6 linked regions of the Ovis aries genome follow. The protein of the gene in region 1 binds, or shares a complex with, the protein of each later gene. Links are inferred from orthologs where the notes say so. Each region holds a gene or a part of one and is shown on either strand. Other genes may lie near its edges. The genes, in order: INTS1, INTS4, INTS6, INTS9, INTS7 and INTS12.

Region 1 (3,500 bases):
ATGGTTCCAGGAAACAGTGGTTTCAGGACCGGGGCCCAGGGGTGGCCCCTCGGGGAGGGAGTGTGTGTGGGAACTGGGGGACCACTCCCGGGGCCCTGGCGGGGGTCCAGCCAGTCACACTCTCCCCTGCAGTGCGGAGTGGGTTCTTGCACCTGGTGGAGGCCCTGACGTTCCGCGGGGACCCGGAAGCGGTCAGCTCCACCGTGCGTGCCCTCGTGGCCACCCTCAAGTCTGGGGAGCAGTGTGACGTGGAGCCCGAGCTCATCAGCAAAGGTATCTGGGCCGCGGGCTCCACTGAGGACCCCCTTGCCACTCCAGAGTCCCTCTGCCGGGCACCCCCAGCAGAACAGAACCCCGGGAGCGGGGCTGTCTATCCTGGAGCCGGGGCCCGTGTGATGGGCGCCCCCTCTGCCCTGCAGTTCTCCGGGGTTTGATTGCGGCGAGGTCACCTCACTTGGAGGAGCTGCTGGCCGCGCTCCTCTCCGCTGCACCCTCCGTCCCAGCCTCGGGGCCCGTGGCGGTGGTCAGCTCGCTGCTGCTGCCGGAGAAGGAGGAGCCCCTGGTCCCAGGGAAACAGGATGCCGACAGCTGCAGGTGAGCCGGCGGGGCTGCGGTCGCGCCTGGGGACAGCCCCGGGCAGCTGTGTCTGACCCCCGGCCCCCTTCCCTGCAGCCAGGAGGCCGAGCGCCTGGGGCCCTGCTCGGGGCTGCTTGTCGACTGGCTGGAGATGCTGGACCCCGAGGTGGTCGGCAGCTGCCCCGACCTTCAGCAGAGGCTGCTCTTCTCCCGCGGCAAGGTGGGCCTCGCCGTGCCCAGCACTCGCTCTTCCTGTTGGTTCTCACAGGCCCCAGGCTGGAGTCTCATCAGCCGGACAGGTCCTGAGTGTGCCGAGCCAGTTGCCACGACCGGCCAGATCTGGTCACAGAGGCGGGAGGGCAGGGGCGGGGTTGTTCCCTGTGGGCCCAGGTCCTCACAGGGCGCTGGAGGGAGTGGAGCCCAGCTCCCCTGACGAGGGGTGGGGGCTAGAGCCCGCCTCAGGGCCCTTCAGGCCGTGGGAAAACGCAGAAACACTGACCGGGAGGCCGGGGAGGGGCTGTGTGACCCCTGCCCTTGTTCCTGCCCAGTGCTGGCGGGTCTGCGTTTCTGAGGGTGTGGGTCACACTTCTGCGCCCAGAGTGCTGCTTGCGTGTCCCCGCTCTGAGAGGTGGGTTCAGTTCAGCCCACGTTTAATCTGCGGAGGGACCCACTAGCCTGGGAGGCCCTGCCCTGAAGTGACGGCTTCTCTCTGCCCTGTGCTGCCTCCCACGGGCTGCCTGCTGTCCACCGGCCCCACTCACCAGAGCTGGGCAGCCTGGTGGAGGCCAATCCAGGTTTCCTCCGTCCCAGGGCAAAGGCCACCCTGGCCCCCAGGTGCCATCTTTCCGGCCCTACCTGCTGGCCCTGCTCACACACCAGTCCAGCTGGCCCACCCTGCACCAGTGTATCCGCATCCTGCTGGGCCGGGGCCGGGAGCAGAGGTGAGCCCCCCGCCACCCATCAGGCCGGCTCCTTCCTTGTCACCCAGGGCTGTGTGGAGCCGCCCAGCGCAGAGCTCCTCTGGGAGCCTGGCCCGGGGGATCTGGCCCAGCACCACTCTGGCCCCCTCAGGACCTGGCAGGCCCGGGTGGCCCTGCTCTGGGTGGCCGGTCCCCTGTGCTCTAGTCACAGTGAAGGGCTGTTTGTGCCACATGGCTGCAAGCAAGGGTGGGTGGGGGCAGGGCTGGACGAGCTTGGGTGGGTGGCCCACGTCCTCTGCGGCCGGCCAGGGTCCCAGCTGACGGGGCATTTTGCCCGTCCCATCCACCTCCCTCCGCCCAGAGTCACGCCTCCTGCTGGGTCTGGCCTCCCCGCCTCCCCCAGGTTTGACCCCTCGGCCTCCCTTGACTTCCTCTGGGCCTGCATCCATGTTCCTCGGATCTGGCAGGGCAGGGACCAGCGCACCCCGCAGGCAGGTTTGGGGTGTCCCCTGCCCGGAGGGCGGGGTGGCCCAGGCACGGCCGTCCCGCGCGGGGCTGACCGACGGCGTCCAACTGCAGAAGCGGCGGGAGGAGCTGGTGCTGCGGGTGCAGCCGGCGGAGCTCGTGGGGCTCGTGGAGCTGATCCTGGCTGAGGCGGAGGCGCGCAGCCAGGACAGGGATGCGGGTGCTTGCGGGCTGCTCCAGGCGCGCCTGCCCCTGCTGCTGAGCTGCTGCCACGGTGGTGATGAAGGCATCAAGAAGGTGACGGCACACTTGACGGGCTGCGTCCAGCAGTGGGGCGACAGGTGAGGGCCCGCCCGGCTCAGACTGCGCGCGGGGGTGGGAGCTGCCCCGGCCACGCGACCACTGCGTCTGCTCTCCTGCAGCGTGCTGGGCCGGTGCAGCCGCGATCTGCTGGTGCAGCTCTACCTGCAGCGGCCGGACCTGCGGGTGCCCCTGCCCGACGTCCTGCTGCACAGCCAGGGGGCCGCTGGCAGCAGTGTCTGCAAGGTAAGGCCTGACGGGCTCCACAGGGCGCCTGGCTCCTTTGCTTGGGGGTGGGAACCCAGACCGGGAGGTAGGGAAGTGCTTTTTCTCAGAACTCGGTGAGTGTGGATGAGTATCTGAGGGCAGAGCCCACCCTGCCGCCCTCTCCTGTCTGACCTCTTGGAGGGTCCTTCCTCCTCCGGGAAGTCCTCCAGGTGTGGAGCGGGGCAGAGCAGGCATCCCCCCATATCCCTCTCATTCCGTGATGGGGACTGTTGAGAACCGCAGGCTGCACGCTGGGTGTGACATCTCCTGAGCCCTGTCTTCCTGCTCTGTCCCCACACGTCAGCAGAGTCTCAGCAGACTCTCTGCGCGCGTGCTGACTTCAGAGCCTCTCTGCTGGGCCCGTGTGGACAGCGTGTCCCTTCCTGGCTGCCTGCCTCCCCCGCCTGTCTAGTGTGGGTCCTCTGTGTTCAGCATCTGCCTTCCCCTCCTCTCAGTGGTGCCGGGGGGGGGGGGGGGGTGCTGTGGTGGGTCTCCCTGCCCCCTCCCCGCCTTCCCTGGGCAGGGCTCTGAGTCAGGTCTGCCTCCAGCCCTGCGTCTCTGGAGGAGGAGGGAGCGACGTTTCTTTAGCTGTGCTTTCTTTGCTTTGTGTGTGTCCCGTGTCACACACCTGAAGTTAGCTTTACCTGTGGGGTCGGTCTTTCTCACCTGAGATAGTTCAGGGCTTCTGGTCTGTCTGCGGTGAGCGGCTGACGTCGCACTGTGTGCTGAGGTTGGCCGGGACCTCCAGCTACAGCCAGCTTGATCCTCTGAAGCCCCAGAAAGCAGCGGGGGCAGGTTTCTCTGGGACACCATGAGGGTCCTCAGGGACTGTGCCAGGCCCTCGGGGCTGAGCCCTGGTGGGCAGGTGGGCAGGTGGGCATGAAGGCTGCGAGGGCCCTGGCCGTGACTTCCTGCCCGTCTCAGCTGGACGGCCTCATCCACCGCTTCATCACCCTTCTGGCGGACACCAGC
Region 2 (4,082 bases), on another chromosome or scaffold:
AGGTAGCTTTTCAACAACTGGAATGAGAGAGCAGGAAAAAGTACCCTAGGCCAGGAGAGGTTTGGAGGGGTGGCATACAGCTTTGTAAGCAGATAGGGAGGGGGGGGGGTCCCTAGAAAAAGATGTAAGAAAAGCCATTTTTGGCTTAAGCCATTGTTTGATCTAAGCCTGACCACAATGCTTGTCCTTGAACAGGTCTCTAATTAATTATCTTGAGAGAAGTGAGGGAAGGAAGGAACAAAAGAAATACGTTTTCTTGTTCCTTGCAGTCAAAAACCAGTTTTTCCTTAAAAGATATATGTAACAATCTGATATATGTCTTTGAGTTCTGCAAGAACTAATGTTCCCCACTCACCTTGAAGATGGAGCGGTGATGTCGACCCTCTTGAATTCAATCAACTAAAGCTTGGGCCCTGTAGACCTCTCCCCAATCCAATGCTGAATTCTCCTCTGCTCAAGCGCCTTCATGAATGAATTTGCATGCACCCTTAGGCTTCCGTGGTAGGTCAGAATCTGCCTACAGTGCATGAGACCTGAGCTCGATCCCTGGGTCAGGAAGATCCCTTGGAGAAGGGGACAGCAATTCACTTCAGTATTCTTGCCTGGAGAATTCCATGGATGGAGTGGCCTGGTGGGCTACGATCAATGGGGTCTCAAAGAGCTGGACACCACCGAGCGACTAACACTTAGCTTAAAGCGTCCCCAGTTTTGCTGTTTGGAGACACTGCTTTGGGGAAGATTGCTTGTGCTCTCCTTACTTGCTGCAAGTAATATGTCCTTACTTCTTTGGAACTTTGGTTAGTTGGGTCTTCAGGCTTGACAACAACCAGAAGGCAAACCCAGTTTCTGAGCAACAGCTCGATCAAAAGGCGAGCACAGGGGACAGACAGCAAATACTGAGAACAGCAATGGATGATGGAGCTGTCAGTCTGACCTCTTTGTGTTATCTTCTGAGTCAGAATCCTCACACAGCTCCAGGTTTTACCTCTAGCTCTGGATAGCTCCACCTCCGCCCTTTACACTGAAGCACTTCCCCCGACCCTCCGTTTCCCTCCGTCACTCAAACCCAACAGAAAGCCCCCCAAAGCTCCCATTGGCTCCTCCAGCCTTTCCGACCCGCCTCCTCCTGCCAGAAGCCCCGCCCCCTGTGCTACGCTCCGGCTCCGGTTTCCGTTCCTCCCGCGCGGCAGGCGTAGGTCGCTAAATCCGGACGCACAGCGACAAGGCAGTCGAGCAGCCGGAAGCGGCTTCTCTTTCCCGGAACCCCACTGCCTTGTGGGACAGCGGCTGGTTCCTCCCTCCTGGGCAAGTTTGTTCGTATTCCTCTGCCCCCCTCAGCCCCGTCGGGTACGGAAGCTGAGAAGGTGCACGAACAACCATGGCGGCACATCTGAAGAAGCGGGTTTATGAGGAGTTCACTAAGGTGGTTCAGGTAAGCTCTAGAAGGAAAGGTCCCAGGACTGGTCTGGGAAAGGGGAAGGTAGGTTATCCGCGCCCCCAGACACTTTGCCAGAACTGGCGCCACAAAGCTGGGTAGGGTGTCAGTGCTGCCAGTGCTTTGGTAGGCTGCCTCTCTGACTACACTTTAGTGGGCGTGTTCATTGGCCGCTGCTGTTGTCAGTATTAACATGTGCAGTCTGACACTAAAAAAAACTATTAGAAGAAGCAAACAGCACCTTGCAATTTACGAAAGTATCTTATCTGTTATCTTATTTTTTTCATGTTACCTTCAGTTCAGCAGCTCAGTCGTGTCCGACTCTTTGCGACCCCATGAATCGCAGCACGCCAGGCCTCCCTGTACATCACCAACTCCCGGAGTTTACTCAAACTCATGTCCATCGAGTGGGTGATGCCATCCAACCATCTCATCATCTGTCGTCCCCTTCTCCTCCCGCCTTCAATCTTTGCCAGCATCAGGGTCTTTTCCATTGAGTCAGTTCTTCGCATCAGATGGCCAAAGTATTGAAGTTTCACCTTCAGCATTAGTCCTTCCAGTGAATATTCAGGACTGATTTCCTTTAGGTTCGACTGGTTTAATCTCGTTGCTGTCCAAGGGACTTTCAAGAGGCTTCCCCAAACACCGCAGTTCATTAGCATCTTCATTTTACAAATGAGGACTTTGAGACTTCTGGTGGGGTATTGACAAATTTCCTTGCAACTCCCATTACCAAAAAAGTGCCCAAAGCCAAGTTGGCTGTATGCAGAGCTCTAAGGGTTTGGAAGAGGAATCTATAGGAGTCCTCAAGACCCAGTCACAGCAGACGAGAGTCACAGGCTTCATAGGGGTTGAAGTTTTCGTTGGTGGAACAGCTCACCACCAACCTTTTATAGTTTACCTGTAAAGGAGGGCAGTACCATCCTTCCTCCTTTGGAGTTGTTTCAGGACTGAGGGGCCCAGACCGTGTCAGTTAGTCAGTTGAGTCAGTTCAGTCGCTCAGTCGTGTCCAACTCTTTGCGACCCCATGAATTGCAGTATGCCAGGCCTCCCTGTCCATCACCAACTCCCGGAGTTCACTCAAACTCATGTCCATCGAGTTGGTGATGCCATCCAGCCCTCTCATCCTCTGTCGTTCCCTTCTCCTCCTGCCCCCAATCCCTCCCAGCATCAGAGTCTTTTCCAATGAGTCAACTCTTCGCATGAGGTGGCCAAAGTACTGGAGTTTCAGCTTTAGCATCATTCCCTCCAAAGAAATCCCAGGACTGATCTCCTTCAGAATGGACTGGTTGGATCTCCTTGCAGTCCAGCGGACTCTCCAACACCACAGTTCAAAAGCATCAATTCTTTGGGACTCAGCTTTCTTCACAGTCCAACTCTCACATCCATACATGACCACTGGAAAAACAATAGCCTTGACTAGACGGACCTTTGTTGGCAAAGTAATCTCTGTTTTTGAATATGCTGTCTAGGTTGGTGATAACTTTCCTTCCAAGGAGTGTCAGCAGTCAGTGATTCTCTATGTATTTCCTCAGAGAGATCGCTAAAGTAGAGGTTGATCCCAGGTCATACCCTGTGTCCTGCTTTTCTGACTTTGTGTATCCAAATCATCTGGGCTCTTGTTAAAATGTAGATTCTACTTAGTAAGTGAATTGGCTGGGGGAGGCAAGGCAATAATCTACATTTCTGAAAAGCCCCCGGTTAATGCCAGCCAATAGCAGGTTTCCATCCATAGACTTGTGGCCTAGGAAGATTTAGACCATGCATTAGGACGCTGATCCTTAAGTATTTCATTTATTCCTTCAACAAGAGTTTATTGAATAAAGTAGTGGTTACTATGTATCAATATTAGGTATGGTGAAAGGTGCTGAGCTATAAAATCCAGTACACATTAGGGTGTCTGTCCTTTCGGAACTCAGGTGAGAGGGAGATGTGGAGCACCATATCTGAGATTATAGTACAGAGGGGTAATTGCATCGACAAACCAAGTCTTCCTTACTCTTTTACAACTACTTTTTGTGAAAACTATCCAAACTCCCTTGCCCTTTGTGATTAACAGTATTCTTTCACTGCCTTTTTCTTGTGTGTGTGTGTGGCATATTTCCATTGTGTGTAGGGAAGTTAGTTGGCTTCTTATTCTTTTTTTTTTTCTGAAAATAACTTTGATACTTACCTTGTCACTGTTATTGCTCCTTTTTATGTAAAATTCGTTTTCTTGAACTTATAGAGTGAGTCAAGATTCAGGAAAGCTTTACAGAGCTCCCTCTTCCGTGGCTTGCTTTTTGGGATTTCCTGGCTCTGGATTCCTTTGCCCCCATTTGAAAAACAAATTGTGCCAAAATAAACATAACAGAATTTATCATTGTAACCATTTTTTAAGCGTGGAGTTCAGTGACGACATGTACATTCACTTTGTTGGGCCGTATCACTTCCTTTCTTTACTATATTCTGTTGTTTCCTCTCGCCAAGACTACTCACCGCTCCTCCAGCATGCCATGTGTTTGGACCTTTCCGAACCTTTGTGTCTGTTGTCTCTTTTACGTAGAATGGGTGTCACTCTTCCTGCTCTTTTTGTTCTCCGCCCAGTGGACTTGGATTTTGCTTTAGTCTCTCCTCCCCTACTTCTGTAGCACTCATCTATTTGTAC
Region 3 (4,062 bases), on another chromosome or scaffold:
AAGTCAAACTGTCGACTAGCATATTTGAGGAAACTTTTCCTCGGACATTTAAGATTCATTATGTCATCTGGCTTGATGACAGGGGCTGGTTTTTAACCGAGAATGTCTTCCCTCATGCAGTATCTGGATGGAGCCTGATACAGTGTATGTGAAAGAGCACTGGAAGGGTTATGCAGAACCAATCTTACGTGTCACCTGGGCAGCCAAGTCAGTTTGTTTAAATAAAGAGTAATGGATTATGATTTGCCAGCGTCCCTTTTAGCTCTGAAAACTAACATTCGATGGCTCTAAGTAAATATGGCTTGACAGAGGTTACTTCTTTGGGTAAGACGGGTTATTTCCCTCCCAGTATAAAAAGGGCTATAAACAGTTTATCGATATTTGCATCTTTCCCGACTGTCCTTTTAGGGCTGAGTTGGTGGGGGGCGAATGGCTTATATCCTTTTCGGTGGGTCCTGCAACGAGAGGGGTACTGGCCAGGTCCAGCCCTCGCCCTCGGTCGCTGCCCAGGGCCAAGCACGGCTGCGGGCGAGGGTTGCCCGTGGTCCCCACTCCCCAGCGGGAGCGGTGTGACTAGCGGAGGAGATTAGTCCCTGGTCATAAACAACCTCTCACTTCCCCTCCCCCGCCCCGCCCGCGCCGGGGCCGGCCCTCCGAGGGCCAAGGAACCTCCTCCGACGACCGCCGGCCCAGAGCCCTCCTCTGGGGGGCGACCGCGGGCCTGCCGCTGACTCCTACCCGGGCTTTTGATCACGCTATACTCATCCCTCCTCACTGGCCCACAGGGAAGGGGTTCGCTACCAAGACCTCAGAAGAGGAGCTGAGGCCAACCTCCATTTCCCTTCCCCCGACCCCTACCACCTCCGACAGCCAAGGAGAGGCCGCCGTGCCTGACGCGCAGACTCACAGCCGCGCCGGCCCTGGGCGCGCCGACGCAGCCCCCACCCCACGGCCCTTCCGTGGCCAGTCTCCGCCCCTTCCCGGAGCCCGCCTCCGCGTCGGCCGGCCCGCCTGCTCTCCCCTCGCGCTCGCTCTCGCGCGCACCCGACGCCCCGCCTCTGCGCGTGCTCCATAACTGTTCCCGGAGCCGGCCTCCAAGCTTTCCCCGCCCCAGAGCTGTTTGAATATGCTAATAAGAGGCCAGGGGCCAGCCAATAGACTAGCGGGGCGGTGCGTCACGTGGCCAGAGGACGTGTCAGAGGGCGGAGCCTCTGCGGCCCCTGCCCGAGTTAAAACCGGAGTGTGAGGGAGAAAAGCGCTTCAGTAGCGAGAGGGGCTGAGAAAGTGGTGACACCGCCGGGGTGCGGAGGGAGTCCCTGAAACTTCTCCCAACAGCCCCAGGGCCAATCTCCCCTCAGCCCACTCCCCTCTTCGCCAGCTCCCAGGTCCCCACTCCCTGCGCCGGGGGTGGGGTAGGGAGCCAGGCCCGTCTCCCGCTGGGACACACACAGGGGCCGGGAGCGGGGACGGGACCCCCGAGGCGGGGGGGGAACGGACCGACAGACAGACGGCCGGGCGCCCGCCCCAGCGGGCAGGCAGGCAGGAGGAGGCGGAGGAGGCGGGGGTACGACGGGGAGGACTGGGTCCGGGGAGTTTCCTCTCAACTATCGGGGGAGAAACTCCCCGCAGCCGGAGGAAAGACCCAGACGGTGTTTTCCTCCCGGGGGCCGCGCTCCCCCGCCCCGCGTTAGCGGCGGTTGCCGCCGCCGCCGCCGCCACCGGCGCCTCCACCTCTACCATCTCCTCTTTCTCCACCACCTCGGGCCCCGGTGTCCCCGGCCAGCACTATGCCCATCTTACTGTTCCTGATAGACACGTCTGCCTCTATGAACCAGCGCAGCCATCTGGGCACCACCTACCTGGACACGGCCAAAGGCGCGGTAGAGACCTTCATGAAGGTACCGACCGACCGAGCCCGGGGGGCGACCCCGGCCCGGCGGCCCGCGGGCGGCAGGGGTTGGGGGGAGGGCGGCCAGGGGCGGCGAGGCGGAGGTGTCGGGGACCTGACTGCGGGAGCTGCCGGGCTCGGGGACCCCCTCCCCCACCGCGCGGGCGGGCGGGCGGCCGGGCGCTGCGAGCCGGGCTCGGCCAGGGCCCGGGCTCCGGCCCCGGGCGGTGTGTGTGTGAGGGGCCGATGTGTGTGTGTGTGTCTGTGTGTTGGGGGGGTGGGCGGCCGCGGCGTGTGCGGTAACTGTGGGGGGGGGGGGTGCGGCGGGGCCGCTGGGCGCCCCTTCTCCGCCTGCTAACCTCGCCTGTGTGCTTTCCTCTCGCCCGCCCTGTTCCTGCTCCCGTTTTCCACCCGTTCTCCCGCAGCTCCGTGCCCGGGACCCTGCCAGCCGAGGAGACAGGTATATGCTGGTCACTTTCGAAGAGCCACCCTATGCTATCAAGGTAACAACCCTCGCCCTCCCCCTCCCCTTCCCCGTCCCTTCCTCTCTCGCCCTCCCCGCCCCCCCATTCACCCTTCCTTATGCTCCCCTCCCCCACCCGCTGTGCTCTAGGCGCTGAGGTCTTCTCCCCTGCGGGCTCCCACCCCCTCCCCCCGCTCCGGAGCGTCCCGGCGCGGCGCGGAGTCGCCGGGCCACCGCCGTCCCCTCCCCAGCCCGGCCCGGCGGCGGCGGCGGCGGCGGCGGCGGCGCGGCGATCAACATGGCCGACATTTCCCCTCCGCGGCGTGAGCGGCAGCAATGAACTGTGGGGGATATTTATTCAAGTTAGCCCGAGTGACAGCCGGGCCCGGCCGCGCAGAGCCCGGGTTTGCATTAAAGGGGAATCGGCTCGAGGCCGGGGCGTGCCGACGGGCGGGGGGCTTGCGATGTGGGGTGGGGTGGGGTGCAGCGGGGCCGGGTCTCCGGATTCTCCCCGAGAGGGCCGCGGGGCCGGTGGGGCAGCTCCGGGTGAACTTCGGAAGTGCTGCTCACTTCTGCTTTCCACCAATACCTCTGCATCCCCGGATTTTTGGGCACGAGGTTGGGGAGTGCATCTCCCCGGGAAGTTATGAAGTATTAAGGCTGGTAGCCACGGAAAGCTGTAGAGCCAGCAGGTTTATTCTCGGCCACCTCTGGAAGAGAGTTTCTTTAGCAGAGAGACGGCATTGACACTTTACCCCAAACCGTACTGTAAAGTCGAGCAGCTGCTTGGTGAACGGCAGATTGTTAACGACCGTCCGTGTGTACCTGGCTTTAAAAGGTGAAAAAAAGAAATTCTCACATTTTTCTTTTCAGGCCGGATGGAAAGAAAACCATGCAACGTTTATGAATGAACTGAAAAACCTTCAAGCTGAAGGACTTACGACTCTTGGCCAATCCCTAAGGACAGCTTTTGATTTATTAAATTTAAATAGATTAGTAACTGGCATAGACAACTATGGGCAGGTAGGTTGAATATTAAGGTGGAAACACAGTTGATTTTTCTTTCTGTGGACAAGCAGCCCAGTCCAAAAGCTATATACTGTGAAATACAAATATGAAACATTGCAGATTAAAATACAGTATGCACATAATACAAAGTGGAATTCTGACCACAATGTATATGGTTTTATAGCTCTCAGGTTTTTTTTTGTTTTTTGTTTTTTAAAATGTATTTGGGTTCCGAATTTGAATCTGAATGCTATAAAGTTGACATAAATTTAGTTTTAATCTCTTAAAGCTCACTCAGGAAATAAAAGGAAAACATCCTGTTTCACCACACTGTTTCTCTGATGGCCTACCCACTGGCAACTGCAACCCTTGCAATGACTGACAGACACTAGTTAATTAAAATGATCTTAAAATGTTAGAGGAAATTATTCTATTTGTTGCAAAAGGGCTTAGTTTAACTGTGTTGTATAACAGTTCTGAAAGGTGAAAAGATTTTCAGTGTACTGGCTGAGTACATTAAGATTTCTCAGCTTTTAAAGTGTGTTCAGTAAGCCACTGCAGGAAGAATTCTGAAACCATTCTTGAATTAAATGGCAGGTTCAGAATTTTGTTTTTAAACTCCCAACCCTTGAAAGAGAGGCTGTTGGAAAATCTGAAAGAACCCTTCCTTTCTCCCTGAATTCCCCCAGTTCCTCGAATACTC
Region 4 (4,252 bases), on another chromosome or scaffold:
AAAACACGGTTCCGGAATAAAATATTAAGAACACTCTTCCTTTCCCACCTAGCTACCGACTTAAGGATGCAAAAAGCCATCTCCACCGCACCTCATCTCTCCGAGGCGCCTGCCCTGAGTTTGCGGTGGAGCTGGTCCCGGGAGACGGGGAGGAGTGTGAGCCGCCGATGGGACACAAACGAGTTGCTCCCCGAGGCCACCCCGCGCCGCTCCGCTAGCCCAGAGGTCCCGGAGCCGCACCTCGCGCACGCCTCTCCGCCCAGGCCCAGCTAACAGCTCCGACTCCGGCTCTCGAACTTCCTCTCCTGAGACATTTATTCAAGGCTAACCCATCGCCCGAGTGCACGTCACCCAGTTTCAAACACAGCTCTGCACCCCAAACAAACCCACGCACCTCAAATTCCCCTCACAGTTTCCCAAACTCCAAACTGGAGACCCCACCTCCAGGATTCAAACCTTCCGCCCACTGGGGAGGCAACCAGGAGAAAAGAGTTGGGAGCACCCGACGCCTTTCAATTACTGCCCCCACAAACTGCCCCACCCCAGACCCTGCGTTCGGGTCACCCCCGCGAAACCCCACGCTTCCTCCTACCTCTCAGTTGGGCCGCTTAAGACACTCATCCCCAGTCCACTCACTTACTCCCCCCAACACCGCCCCCCCCCAAAAAAAAAGTGAAGAGAAAGAAGTGAGGAAAGAGACTGGAGAGACTTGAGGCTTCCAAACCACTCGACTCACCTCAGAATGCTTGCTGAGTTCTCTCCGCCCGGCACAGCCCCCTCCCCAACGTCCCGGTACGAAGGGCTGAGGTCTGAGGTAGGGAGGAGGGGAAAGCGGGAGGGGGAGGGGTGTCTTCCGCGTGGGGCGCCCGTCGGGAGGGGTCTGGGGAGGGGTTGAGGCCGGCGCAGGAAGAGGAGAAGGGGGAGGGGAGGCCCCTATCTCCCAGTCTCCCCCTGAAAAACCTCCCTTGTCTCAATCACATCAGACTGACTGTCTTTGTCTGGCTGACAACCGCCATATTGATATCAACAGCCCCGCTCCCACCTGCTGCCACCGGGCGGCCCTGGGAGTTGTAGTTTTTGTCTCCCTTGAGTAAAGGTGCGGGACTCTGCGTCCCGAGGCCCCAAGGAACTACAGCTCCCGGCAAGTACCGCGCCAGTGCGCCTTCCCACAGGGAGGAGGGGAAAGGGGCGCCAGAGCCGTAGGGACTACACATCCCAGCATACCATGGATTCTGGGCCCAGATGAGGGACATGATATCATGCTGGGGTGAAGAGGCAGGATGAATTGGCGGCGCGGATGAATTTGAGCTGACGGAAGGAGGCGTTCTAAGAGGAGAGGAAAAGGAAAGATGACCACGGTTCCCATGATGCACGGAGAGATGACTACATTTCCCATGATGCACCGGGAAGGAGCGAAGGGGGAAAAAAGACTGCATGTCCCGCGATGCTCTCGGCGGGCCCGTCGTGGAGATTGAACCGGAAGACGCTTTCTGGGTTTGAGAAGTCGAGGAACTGCTCCTTACCAGCCAAAAGTCCAGCATGAAACTGGTGAGTCTCTGCTCTTAGATCGGAGGGCATATCCTTTTGGAATTCGTCGTTTCCACCTTGGGAAGGGAACCGTCGCGGACGAGGGGTGGCAGGAAACTAGAAGGTGGAGTGGACCAAGGAAAGCTGATGTTTGTTGTTGAGTTTGAATTCCAACGCAGACCCTTCACAACTGCTAGATGCAATTCATCCCTTGGCGCGGCCCTTTTGGTTAGATAAGAGATTGAATCTTGTCACCTTTCTTCACAAACGAACCAAGGTTGGACTTTATGAACCAGGTTTGATTTGTTTCCCGCCTGCCACGTGAGTGTTATAATTGGTACACTTCTTTCCACGGGATTGATACTTGAAGCGTTCCTTTTTACAGTTGTTGAGAAGGTTTGGTAACATGAACAGAGTTTAGAAAATTCTAGGCCGATCTTAATCTCTTATTTAATTCTCTGTTATAGACCCCTAACTTCCCTTGATCACTCAAAGGAGGTCGAAGTCAGAGTGTGATCTTGGATGGTTTGAGTCTTAAATTCTGTATAAGATGGGCTGAGAGGAAGTGTTAACTGGCGTTACAGTCTAGAGCTGTAGGGACTGCGTGAGCTAAGGTTATATGGAGCATGCCAGGATACCTGGAAAAGTTCTGCATCACAAAACTTGAGACGCTTGGCTTATAGGAAAGCTGTTCAGGCTTTTGTTTTGAGCCATTTAATTCTCAGTGTGCACAGATTTAACTAACTTACTCCAACTAATTAATTGGAATTAGTAATAGCATAATTTGAGTAGAGAAGGTGTGAGATGCTGTTTCTCAGGCTTTAAAAGTCATGTTCCTGCAGCCAGGTATTGTCAGGCTTTACTTTCTGAAGTTTCTGAGGAAAAACAAAAGGTTTCTCTTAATTATTTGAGCATGCTTTTGAAAAGTACGTGTGTATGTACCCACACACGGTACAGGCATATATATTCTGCACAGTGTCAGCTGTTCTTTGAGATGGCAGAGAACATAAGAAAGGTGGATTCAATTCCAAAACTGTCTCTATCTAAAGCTGTTTCTATTAGAAGGACGCACAGATCAGTAGACCTTGAGAGTGTCAATTTGCTTTGGAGTCAGTTTTCCAAACATTTCAAAATGCAGAATTGAAAATCACCACCCTTGTCCTAAAGAAGCATGCAATCTAATGAAGAAGATACAAAGTAATGAAAAAGTTATAATTCACCTCCATCTGGGTGAAAGGAGTCATCATGTTTAGGGTTTGCTGATTGAGAGGATACTGGGGGTATGTGGGGGAGTCAGATACAGCTCCTTTGGAAAGGTAGTTCTTGAACTGATAAGAAGGTCAAGTGCGCTGGGGCCTTCCTTGAAGAGGGTTCAGCTGAGAGAAGCCAAAGAGCTTGGCACCTGAATGGTTGAAACACAGACCAGGTGTCGTCAATAAAAGATAAATCATGGTTGATGTGTGTGGTGCGAAGGCAGGCAAGTGGGAAGCAGGTTTTTTCCTATAACAACTCATTTGCTGATTGTATCAGAGCCAGGGTTTAATGTACATATACTTTGGTTTGCTTATAAAATTCTCCTGCTTACTTTATTTAGAGATGTGAAAACGTGGAAAAAGTAGGAACATTTTTTTCCTTTAAGAACCATAAAATGCCTCAGAGGAAGAGGGATTGTTCTATCTATACTCCTTCCCTCTTTATTGTTCATCCACCTAATAACTAAAACTCATTTGGTACTTGATGATTTATAATACAGGAGTATCTTTCAGAAACACTGACAGCAAGTTAGACTTCTTTTTTGTCCTGCCTCCCATACAGTTGGGCTTTCCAGGTAGTGCTAGTAATGAAGAATCCACCTGCCAGTGCGGGCAACTCGAGATGCGGGTTCGGTGCCTAGGTCAGGAAGATCCCCTGGGAATAGGAGATGGCAACCCACTCCAGTATTCTTGCCTGGAAAATTCCATGGGCAGAGGAGCCTGGTGGGCTACAGTCCATGAGATTGCAAAGATCTGGACATGACTGAGAGTGACTAACACTTTCATTTTTTCTTTGTAATATCAGGCAACTTTTTTTGAGGAAAATTCATCTTCAATTAATCAGGACAATTTTGAAAAGAACAGGAAAATTAGAAACATATCCTCTAGCACATTTTAGAGCCTATTCTCCTTTTAGTATCGATTGAACCTGATTGGGTATACCCTGATGGCCAAATTCAGCAAAGCATAGAAAATTGAACTCACCGGGGTCTTTAACAAAAGACTTTGGGAGCCCCCCCCCCCCCGCAAAAAAAAAAACCAAATTCATTGACAGAAATCAAGTTTGAAACATCATGGCCAGGAATTTAGTCATTCAAATAGATGAACGTTAAAGTGAATAAAATAACTAGCGGTTCAAAAATAAATCATTTGTCACACTTCCTGTAGATAGTTCCAGAGCTGGAGAGAATCCTCTAGTTTATTCAGTCAATAAGGATGTATTATACAAACACAGTATACCCGTGGCATTCAAAGTTTTAATACTTTGCATTTTAACTATTGAATTTGACCCCAAGGATCAATGACATGGAATTATTTGTAATTTTGCTGAGACGAAAGTTTGAATGTGATTTTAAGATGACTGATAATCCTTAGTGAAACGAGCCTGATTGCCTCAGAATCCAGGACTTTCTGCAGTTCCGTTGCTCTCTTGTTAAAGATCTGAAAGAAAGGTCACTTAAACGCTCGTTCTA
Region 5 (4,018 bases), on another chromosome or scaffold:
TGATGACACTCAAACCTAAAGCTCAAAATTCTTATTGCCAATGTTTTAACCTAAGGAACTTCAAGAACTGGAAAGAATAAATTGGAAGCCTATATACTAACATGGAAGTATTTCCAAGTTCTATCGTAAAAGTAAAGAGATAAAACATTTTAACCCCATTTCCATAAATAACAATACTTCCTACTTCTGGCATTGAAAAACATTTTGGAATAAAATACTTCAATCTATTAATAGTGGTCATTTGTGGGAAATGTGCTTACGGGCATTTTTCACTGTATTACTACGAATTTTTATACCCTTGAATTAATCAGGAAGAAAAAATTCTGACCATGCTAGAAGCAGATGTTCTGTTTTCCCTGCCTGACTGAGTTCTTTTTAAGAGCCGATCCTATTCTCTGGTGTATATAGCAAACGGTAGGGCTCACTAAGTTTCCACTACAAATGAATGAATTAATCAATGCGTACGATCCTTGACGATCTCACACAGCTGTTCGTTCAGAAAGCCAAACACTCTCAAATGCACGCGTCTTCCAGTTAACGTGCAAAACAGACATAAACCGTAATGGAGGTCAGTTAACTCAACGTCCCTCCCTCCCTCAGCCTACACGACTAAAAAAAGCCTCGATTACGACGAAAACTATCTCGAGGGCACTAAAGTGCGGCTTTCTTCAGTATTCCTAGCTAGTACGAACTCATTCTGGCTGGGGGAGAACTCGGCGGCTGGGAAACTGAACTGAAATCGGCATTGGTCCGAGGAGTTGTTCTGGGGGAGGTGAATCCCGCCGGCAAGAAACAGCGGTTAGGGCCGTTACTCACCATTTCTCGGGACGCCAAACTGGGGCTGGCGGAGCACCGAATTGAACAGCATCTGGGACGGAGGAAAACGCTCAACTGAGGAAAAAGCCGTGGAAATGCCTCCAGATTCAGCAGAAACTGTATCCTGCGCCCCTTAGACCACGACTAAGTTATTGCCTCCAACTCCCGCCACTGTAAGCCCCGGTCACCAAACTCCCCGCCAAACTGACGTCACGCCCTCTGATTGGCTCTCGGAGCGGCGTCCGGGAGCGTACGAGTCACTTCCCCCTTCGAAGCCCCGCCTCCTTCTCGCCCAGCCGCGGGAACCTAGCGTTCCAGAGCTCCCTGAGCGCCTGCGCGGGGGGCCGCAGGGGCGCTGGCGAACGGCAGGGAGCCCAGGGCGCATGCGTAACACGGCTTGACAGAGCGCGGAGGAAAAATCCGCGAGAAGGTGGTGGAAGAAGATGGCGGTGGTGGGGCCGAGTTTGCAATCTCTATGAATAGGCTAATCGAGTAACTGTATGGGTCATGGCGTCAAACTCAACTAAGTCTTTTCTGGCAGATGCCGGCTATGGCGAACAGGAGCTGGATGCTAACTCTGCCCTTATGGAGTTAGACAAAGGTATTTCGAAAGAGCGGGCTGCGCGTGTGTGGGGGGAAGTGGCGCCACCAGGCGGTGGTAGCCGCGCGAGAAGCTGGGGAGGCGCATGCGCGGTGCTTCCTGGGCGGGGCGGGGTCGGGCGCCTTTGCCTTTGGTGAGCCCAGGGCTTTTCGCGGCTTTGGGAGGTTGGCCGAAAACGGCAGCGTTGCTTGATTGGCCTTGTACAGCTGAAAAAGTAGAGAGCTCCCGCTAAAGGCTCGCTTGGACCGCTTGAGGGCACAGCCCCGCGATTTTCCACGCAGTTTCTAAAAGTGCTGTATTGAAATTATGAAATTATTTTTCAGTATGTGCAGTTAAGACCAGGTCTTCACCAAGACTGCTGCTTCTTGCACCGACTTTACAGCGATTCATTTAATTTCTGTAATTCTTACCTGCCGGTTACTAGGCAGGTCAAAAATAGGGCCAAGACATCCGAAAAGCATAGCCCCTATTCATTCTCTGCTTCCCTGATAGCTCAGCTGGTATAGAATCCGCCTGCAATGCAAGGTTCGATTCCTGGGTCCGGAACATCCGCTGGAGAAGGGATAGGCTACCCACGCTAGTATTCTTGGGCTTCGCTTGTGGCGCAAGCTTAGTGTAATTAAAGCAATGTACTTTAAGGGCAGGGTCAGATCAATGGAAAGATTAGAGAATCCGGACTTACTTGGGAACTTGTGTATGATTGATGATTTTCTAACTATATTTCCTATATTTGGTAGTTTTAAAGGGGGTATTTGAAGCCTATCAATAAAGTAGTGTTACTTCTGAGAAACTACAATTAAGTCCTAAAAATACAATAAGTGAGACATCACATATCCTATTTCATCCATTAAGATACATATTTTTTCACATATTAACATCTCTGAAACAGAGTCATCTTAAAAACCTGTAAAATAAAGTCTTAGTTATTATTTAATTGGGCTTCCTTTGTGGCTCAGCTGATAAAGAATCTGCCTACAATGCGGGGGACTTGGGTTGGATCCCTGGGTTGGGAAGCTACCCATTCCACTATTCTGGCCTGAAGAATTCCCTGGAGTGTGTATAGTCCTTGGGGTTGCAAAGAGGCGGATACGACTGAGCGACTTTCACACACATTCTCTGCAAATGAGTTCAGTTTCCTTATGGCAATGAAGGGATGGGACAGGCTTGGTGTAGTAGTAGAAGCTTTGGATAGACTTGAGTTGAATTCTAGTTTCGCTAGTTTTATGATCATGGACATGTCATTTAACCAAACCTAATCTTGGTTTTTTTCTCTGCAAAATGAGGAAAATACCATTGAGCTGGCAAAATGGTTGTAAATATTAAGTGATGTAATAGTATGCAAAAAAGTCCTTATTAAATGCAGAAGAGATTTGCCTTATCTTTTAGAGAGGGATTTGGAAGGCAAGGGCAGGTATTTCTTAGTAGAGAACTCAAAGTATTACAGTTACTCTATTGTTTCAGTGTACTTGTTATTTTTATTGAATGGGGGAAACATCACTTGGTATACAGTTAATTAACTGTAGCCAGTGGGTAATATGTTAAGAACTGGACTAGCAGTTAGAAGGATTTTTAAGTCCACTTGGAGCCACTTCCCAGCCCTCTGACTTGGACACTTTGTTAACTTTTCTGGGACTTCAATTTTTTTTTTTTTTTTTACCTTGTAGACATTTAAAGTGCAGTTGGTCCAGATAAGAGTTTCTCAGACTTAAAAACAAACAAACAAACTTTTAACTTCCTTTGATCAACATGAAAATTTCATAACACTCCAATGAGATATTCCTTTGGTTGAGTCATAGTAGTGCAAGTCCATCATCCAAGAAAATGATGTTGAGCTTTGCTTTCTCTTAAGAAAAACTATAGGGCTTTTTCCTTCTGAAATAGAAAATCATAATATCAGATGTGTTTTTTAAACACTGCATAACCTTTTCCTCCCCATTCTGTTAATTCCTTCCTTATTCCCCAATAAGAGTTGCAGGTCTACATGTCTAATATTTCTACTAAATCTCTAAAGAGATTTTCTACCACTGTGGTCTGGGTGGACTCATCCCATAATGAGAGTAGAGCAGTAGTGTAGAACAGCATTGGGATGGGACTCTGAAGAAATGAGGGCTCTAGAATTATTTGATTCCTAAAAACTTGCAGTTGTGGTAAGAAAAAAATGTAACACAATTTTTCCTTCCCAAAAGTTGAAATAGGAATATTTTAGACCTGTAAGAAGTGTATAGATGGTTATTGAGTGTTTACCTATAAACCAGGTGTCAGTCCTAGATCATGTTTAATCCTCCCAGCAGCACCTTGGGTGAAGTAAGATGTTATTCTATTCCATAACATCTTACAGAAGAACGCAAAGTAACTTTTTGACCAACCCAGTTATTTTACAGGTGGAAGTTGGTCTGGGGTTGCTTGAATACATGGTGCCACACAGATAGCAGCGAGGCTACTGCTGTAGAGAGGAGGTGATTGTAATAATCCAGGGAGAAGAGAAGAGTGGCTTGGGCCAGGTTATAGTGAAGCTGTGTGAAGTGCTGAGATTATGTATGTATTTTGAAGGTAGGGCCAACAAGATTGGCTAATGAATTAGTTGAGGATGTGAGAATAAGA
Region 6 (4,100 bases), on another chromosome or scaffold:
GAAGCCTGGTGTGTTGCAGTCCATGGGAATTGCAAAGAGTGTAACATGACTTAGCAACTGAACAACTACAAATACCACTCACCAGGGAGTTAAAAAAAAGTCACATAGCTTGATGTTCGTATTCAATATGACAGCAAACTACTCAGTAGTACTTATAACAAAGATTTTATTCCACACTATTTAAATGACCATGGTTAAAGTTTAAATTGTCATACCACTAGTTGTTGCCTGCTTTTGCATGTTCCCTTTTAAACAGTTTCTACATACGCTTAGGAGAAAAAGAAGTACTCGATCTCCTCTAGCAATACTTTTGCCAAGATGTATTATTAAGTGTTGGCATTTTCTTGATATCCAAGATAGGATCATGACATTAAGAATGAAGGAAAAAACCAAGTCACCTAATCCTAAACCAAAGTGAAACACGGCCTTGATGATGCAATAGAAGCAAATGACCCCAAATGAATGAAGCAAGTTCACTGGAGCAACAGTTTGCTAACATTCACATACAACTGCTCTCTCCAATGAGGAAGGGCTGGGAGAGAAAACTAAGTGCCAAAAAAAAAAAAAAGTTAAAGATGATCCAAGAAATCTACACAAACCATGAGTGAGCATCGCTCAGTCGTGTCCGACTCTTTGCGACCCCATGAACTGTAGCCCACCAGGCTCCTCCATCCATGGGATTTTCCAGGCAAGAATACTGGAGTGGGCTGCCATTGCCTTCTTCCCGACCCAGGGATTGAACCCAGGTCTCCCACATTGTAGGCAGACGCTTTACCGTCTGAGCCACCAGGGAAGTCCACACACCAACTATACCTAGCAGCAAATGGCAGAAGACCCCTGAGATTGCTGCAACTGGAAGTTGCTCCATTCCATCGTTAGAGAAAGCCACGGGCACTGGTCTTGGAAAAACTGGAAAGGGGACGGGAGCCTTCCCACGCTTGCCCGCATCGTCCATCCTGTTTCCCCCTATACTAAGAGGCGGTTTTTCGGGGTCACGGGGACTGCGCCCTCCTTACCTGGTCGCAGAGGCGCGGCCAGGCAGGGAGGGTGCGTGAGTGGGTAGGCGACAGGGGCCGCCAGCGCATTCCAGCCCCGCCCGAGCCGAGTTTCCCGAGGCCACTTCAGGGAGTCTTCGTCTGCTGACCGCTCGCTGCCAACGAGGCCACGAGAGAAAGAACGTCAAGCGCTTCAAGGAAGCAGCGGCGGCGGCCGTCATTCTTAATCCGGCGGACCGGAAAGAGAGGCTCACGTCACTTCCTACCGTCGCACAGTCAAAGCGTTCCGCGGCCGAGCCTCCTGCGGGAACCTTTGTTTTTCCGCTCTCGGGGCGGGCTGGTGGTGTTGGCACCGGTTCGCCAGGCCACCGGCAACGGACGGAGCAGCTGGGCGGAGCGGTGAATAGTGAGTAGTGACCGGCTGCCCGGCTCTCAGCCGACTCTCAGGGGCTTGAGACGTCCGCGAGGGGCGAGGTGGGAGAGTGGTTCCGTGGGGTCTTAGAGTTTTCTCGCTCCCTGTGGGGACGCCTCGCAGTCTGCAGGCGGTAGAGTGCCCAGGCTGACCGCTTTCTCCTTACAGTGAGGGTCGGGCTTCCACGGAGAGGAAGCCCCAGGGACTAGGTCCTTGGAACCCTTTCTCGGACCTTCCTTGGCAGGTTTTGGCGACTTCTCTGTACAGCTCCTTCTGTCTGCCTCTCACTTGTCAAAGACCTTGCCCTGTGCTAGGCCTTGGATGTGTCACGACTTTGGTCAAAATATTGGCATTCTTGTTCTGCGCGTCTGTGGTCACTTTTTAGATTCTCTGTCACTTGATTGGTTTGGAATCAAGGTCTTTCCACCTCACCTGTGTTTCCGGACGTGTGCCTAAGATATCAGTGTAACCTAGGGCCAAGAACTCGGTGAAGGAATAAAAAGGGCAGCATCTTTAAAGGGATGGGTTACAAGCGCTTGCAAAGATGAAAAGGCAGAGCTATCTAGAGCCGTTCTGTGATGACAACCCTAATATTGCTCTCTGTGTGAATAAGGTCAGTTTCCTGCATCTCGTTCACATGAAGATCAACTTTGCATTTCTTTTATGATTGCCGTGTTGAGTGGGAAATGGGATCTAGAGGAAAGCATATAATATATGAATGCCCAACTTAGTTTGGAGAAATCACAGAAGCCCTCAAAAGTGACATTTAAAGGAAACCTAGTTCATTGACTCAACAAATAGTTGTGAGAGTCTGTTAAGTTCGAAACACTAAGTATATAACAGTGACTAAAACAAGTCCCTGCTTGCATGGAGTTTACAGCCTAGTGAGATTAAAAAATTTAAACCAGATGAAGGATTGGCAAGAGACTGTTGCAGATAGGAACACTGTACAAGTCCCCAGTCTTGAAAGAGGTGTTTTTGTTTTGTACTGCCTTTCCCTTTTTGATGTTTTAGGGTTTGAGGGCAGGGCGAGCTAGTGGGGATGGGTCTGAGTTTCTTTTTTTGTAGCTTTTTGTTAAGGGACTTTGGAAATATTTAGAACTGTGTAGAAGCAGAGAAAAGATCATTATACTTTGATCTCTAATAATTCTATGGCCATTATATTGTGGTACTTTGCAAAATAGCAAAATGGTAGGCAAAAAAGATAGGAAGAGAGCACAGCAATCAACTCCAGTATTCTTGCTTGGAGAATCCCATGGACAGAGGAGCCTGACAGGCTACAGTCCATAGGTTTGCGTAGAGTTGGCCCCCACTGAAGCCACCTAGCACACAAACACACACAGGCAAAAAAGATAGCTTCCTCCCTTAAAGTACTGAGAGTTTTATAGAGACTATAACAAATGTCCAAAAAATTGAAAAGTGTGGTTGAAGGTAGAAAACTCCCATACCATGAGAATGCTCTGCTAGATATCCTTGGAGAGCAGGATTAGTAGTCCAGGAAGCAGAGCAGAACACACTAGCTATGAGTCAAGTCCTCATGAGAAGTAGTATTTGAACCAGGTCTTGATAGGATCTGGAAATATTAAAAAAGGTAAAATGCTTCTCAGACAGACAAATTGAGTATAAGTAGCAAGCCCAGCTAATAACTCTGCCCTACTGAAGATCTAGGGATGAAGAATTAAAGTTTTTGTGCCAGTTACTGAATCTTTTTAAATGGTAGGCCAAGAAATTAGGCTTTATTTTAAAGGCAGTGGCTTGCCTTAATTTTCAAAGAAGAAAGAAAGAAAATGTGTTGCAGGAACATTAATATAGCAACTGTCTTGATGTCAAGGAGAATAACTAGATTTTTGCTGTAGTACAAAAAGCAAGTGAAAACCTGAATCTGAGTAATAGCCTTGAAATGAAAAACAGCAACAGATGTGAGAAATGTTGCAGAGTCAGAATTCACAGGAAAGGCCTGCTGATTGTTCAGATTAAGGGATTGGGAAGGATTCAGTGAGCAAAGGTTTAGGCCTCAGACCTGATGAATGGAGAGTGTGTCATTTATTGACAGTGCAGGACAGGGAAGTTTGGGGGGAAGATATTCATAATTCCAAATTCAATCATAGCTGAGCTTGAGATACCATTAGGGCAACCAGTTAGATATGTCTATTAAGCAGTTGGAAATATGGGTTTAAGCTTAAGAGAGATGGACTGGGAGTAAACATATGAAATCATCTCTCTACAGATGCTAGTTGAAAACATGATATATAAAGATTACAAAATAGGAAACTGGTAGCAGAACTAAAGAAAATAGACGAGGACACAATTACTTCAGCAATACCAAGATCAATGGAGTTGAAAAGATAACTCACAGAAAGAAGAGCCCAAGATAGAAAAGGAAAACCAGAAGAGCTGAGTATTTCTCATGGAGAAGAAAGGTTTTTGAAAGAGACAGTGAATTCTCTTGGCCAGCGTTACTGAGTGACAGATTTACCCCACAGTTGCGGACCTCTTTAGGACCATAGAAGAAAAAGGAATTTCTTTCACTATTCAGTAGTCCTTTCTTATCCATGTAGGATATGTTCCAAGATCTCCAGTGGATGCCTAAAACCATGGATAGTACCACACCCTATATATACACCATTTTTTTCCTGCATTCTGCTGCTACTGCTAAGTCACTTCAGTCGTGTCCGACTCTGTGTGACCCCATA

What was found.
Region 2: INTS1 (region 1) and INTS4 share a complex: the UniProt entries of both Homo sapiens proteins name them as parts of the integrator complex. The link is inferred for Ovis aries from reciprocal best matches to the Homo sapiens genes INTS1 and INTS4.
Region 3: INTS1 (region 1) and INTS6 share a complex: the UniProt entries of both Homo sapiens proteins name them as parts of the integrator complex. The link is inferred for Ovis aries from reciprocal best matches to the Homo sapiens genes INTS1 and INTS6.
Region 4: INTS1 (region 1) and INTS9 share a complex: the UniProt entries of both Homo sapiens proteins name them as parts of the integrator complex. The link is inferred for Ovis aries from reciprocal best matches to the Homo sapiens genes INTS1 and INTS9.
Region 5: the proteins of INTS1 (region 1) and INTS7 are in contact, whole or in part, in a cryo-EM structure (PDB 8RC4), measured with the Homo sapiens proteins. The link is inferred for Ovis aries from reciprocal best matches to the Homo sapiens genes INTS1 and INTS7. Residues at the interface, in NP_001073922.2 of Homo sapiens: Leu1378, Gln1381, Gln1382, Gly1385, Gln1386, Ala1389, His1429, Phe1430, Leu1431, Cys1433, Pro1434, Arg1437, Gln1438, Cys1440, Gln1441, Pro1476, Ala1479, Gln1480, Met1483, Leu1484, Gln1487, Arg1552, Pro1554, His1555, Leu1556, Glu1557, Glu1558, Pro1613, Ser1614, Gly1616; in NP_056249.1 of Homo sapiens: His150, Asp151, Leu187, Ala188, Thr189, Pro190, Val191, Lys194, Thr223, Ser224, Tyr225, Pro226, Ser227, Thr228, Asn262, Asp263, Pro264, Arg265, Lys266, Pro303, Tyr304, Gln349, Glu350, Cys352, Tyr353, His354, Asn355, Arg357, Ala360, Gln384.
Region 6: INTS1 (region 1) and INTS12 share a complex: the UniProt entries of both Homo sapiens proteins name them as parts of the integrator complex. The link is inferred for Ovis aries from reciprocal best matches to the Homo sapiens genes INTS1 and INTS12.

Annotation. Positions count from the first base shown.
Region 1 is NC_056077.1:41,825,879-41,829,378, forward strand, and holds part of INTS1 (integrator complex subunit 1), read left to right. Parts: intron 1-132; coding exon 133-273; intron 274-419; coding exon 420-594; intron 595-672; coding exon 673-796; intron 797-1,386; coding exon 1,387-1,517; intron 1,518-1,857; coding exon 1,858-1,987; intron 1,988-2,075; coding exon 2,076-2,302; intron 2,303-2,383; coding exon 2,384-2,507; intron 2,508-3,452; coding exon 3,453-3,500. UniProt on the Homo sapiens protein: Component of the integrator complex, a multiprotein complex that terminates RNA polymerase II (Pol II) transcription in the promoter-proximal region of genes.
Region 2 is NC_056074.1:15,619,332-15,623,413, forward strand, and holds the start of INTS4 (integrator complex subunit 4), read left to right. Parts: upstream 1-1,282; 5' UTR 1,283-1,378; coding exon 1,379-1,432; intron 1,433-4,082. UniProt on the Homo sapiens protein: Component of the integrator complex, a multiprotein complex that terminates RNA polymerase II (Pol II) transcription in the promoter-proximal region of genes.
Region 3 is NC_056063.1:21,225,868-21,229,929, reverse strand, and holds the start of INTS6 (integrator complex subunit 6), read left to right. Parts: upstream 1-1,262; 5' UTR 1,263-1,787; coding exon 1,788-1,898; intron 1,899-2,062; exon of another isoform or gene 2,063-2,313; coding exon 2,314-2,391; intron 2,392-2,501; exon of another isoform or gene 2,502-2,755; intron 2,756-3,224; coding exon 3,225-3,374; intron 3,375-4,062. UniProt on the Homo sapiens protein: Component of the integrator complex, a multiprotein complex that terminates RNA polymerase II (Pol II) transcription in the promoter-proximal region of genes.
Region 4 is NC_056055.1:103,363,042-103,367,293, reverse strand, and holds the start of INTS9 (integrator complex subunit 9), read left to right. Parts: upstream 1-1,452; 5' UTR 1,453-1,539; coding exon 1,540-1,548; intron 1,549-4,252. UniProt on the Homo sapiens protein: Component of the integrator complex, a multiprotein complex that terminates RNA polymerase II (Pol II) transcription in the promoter-proximal region of genes.
Region 5 is NC_056065.1:70,951,704-70,955,721, forward strand, and holds the start of INTS7 (integrator complex subunit 7), read left to right. Parts: upstream 1-1,218; 5' UTR 1,219-1,323; coding exon 1,324-1,417; intron 1,418-4,018. Other genes in the region: DTL (denticleless protein homolog), read right to left, coding at 817-868. UniProt on the Homo sapiens protein: Component of the integrator complex, a multiprotein complex that terminates RNA polymerase II (Pol II) transcription in the promoter-proximal region of genes.
Region 6 is NC_056059.1:19,838,465-19,842,564, forward strand, and holds the start of INTS12 (integrator complex subunit 12), read left to right. Parts: upstream 1-1,300; 5' UTR 1,301-1,469; intron 1,470-4,100. UniProt on the Homo sapiens protein: Component of the integrator complex, a multiprotein complex that terminates RNA polymerase II (Pol II) transcription in the promoter-proximal region of genes.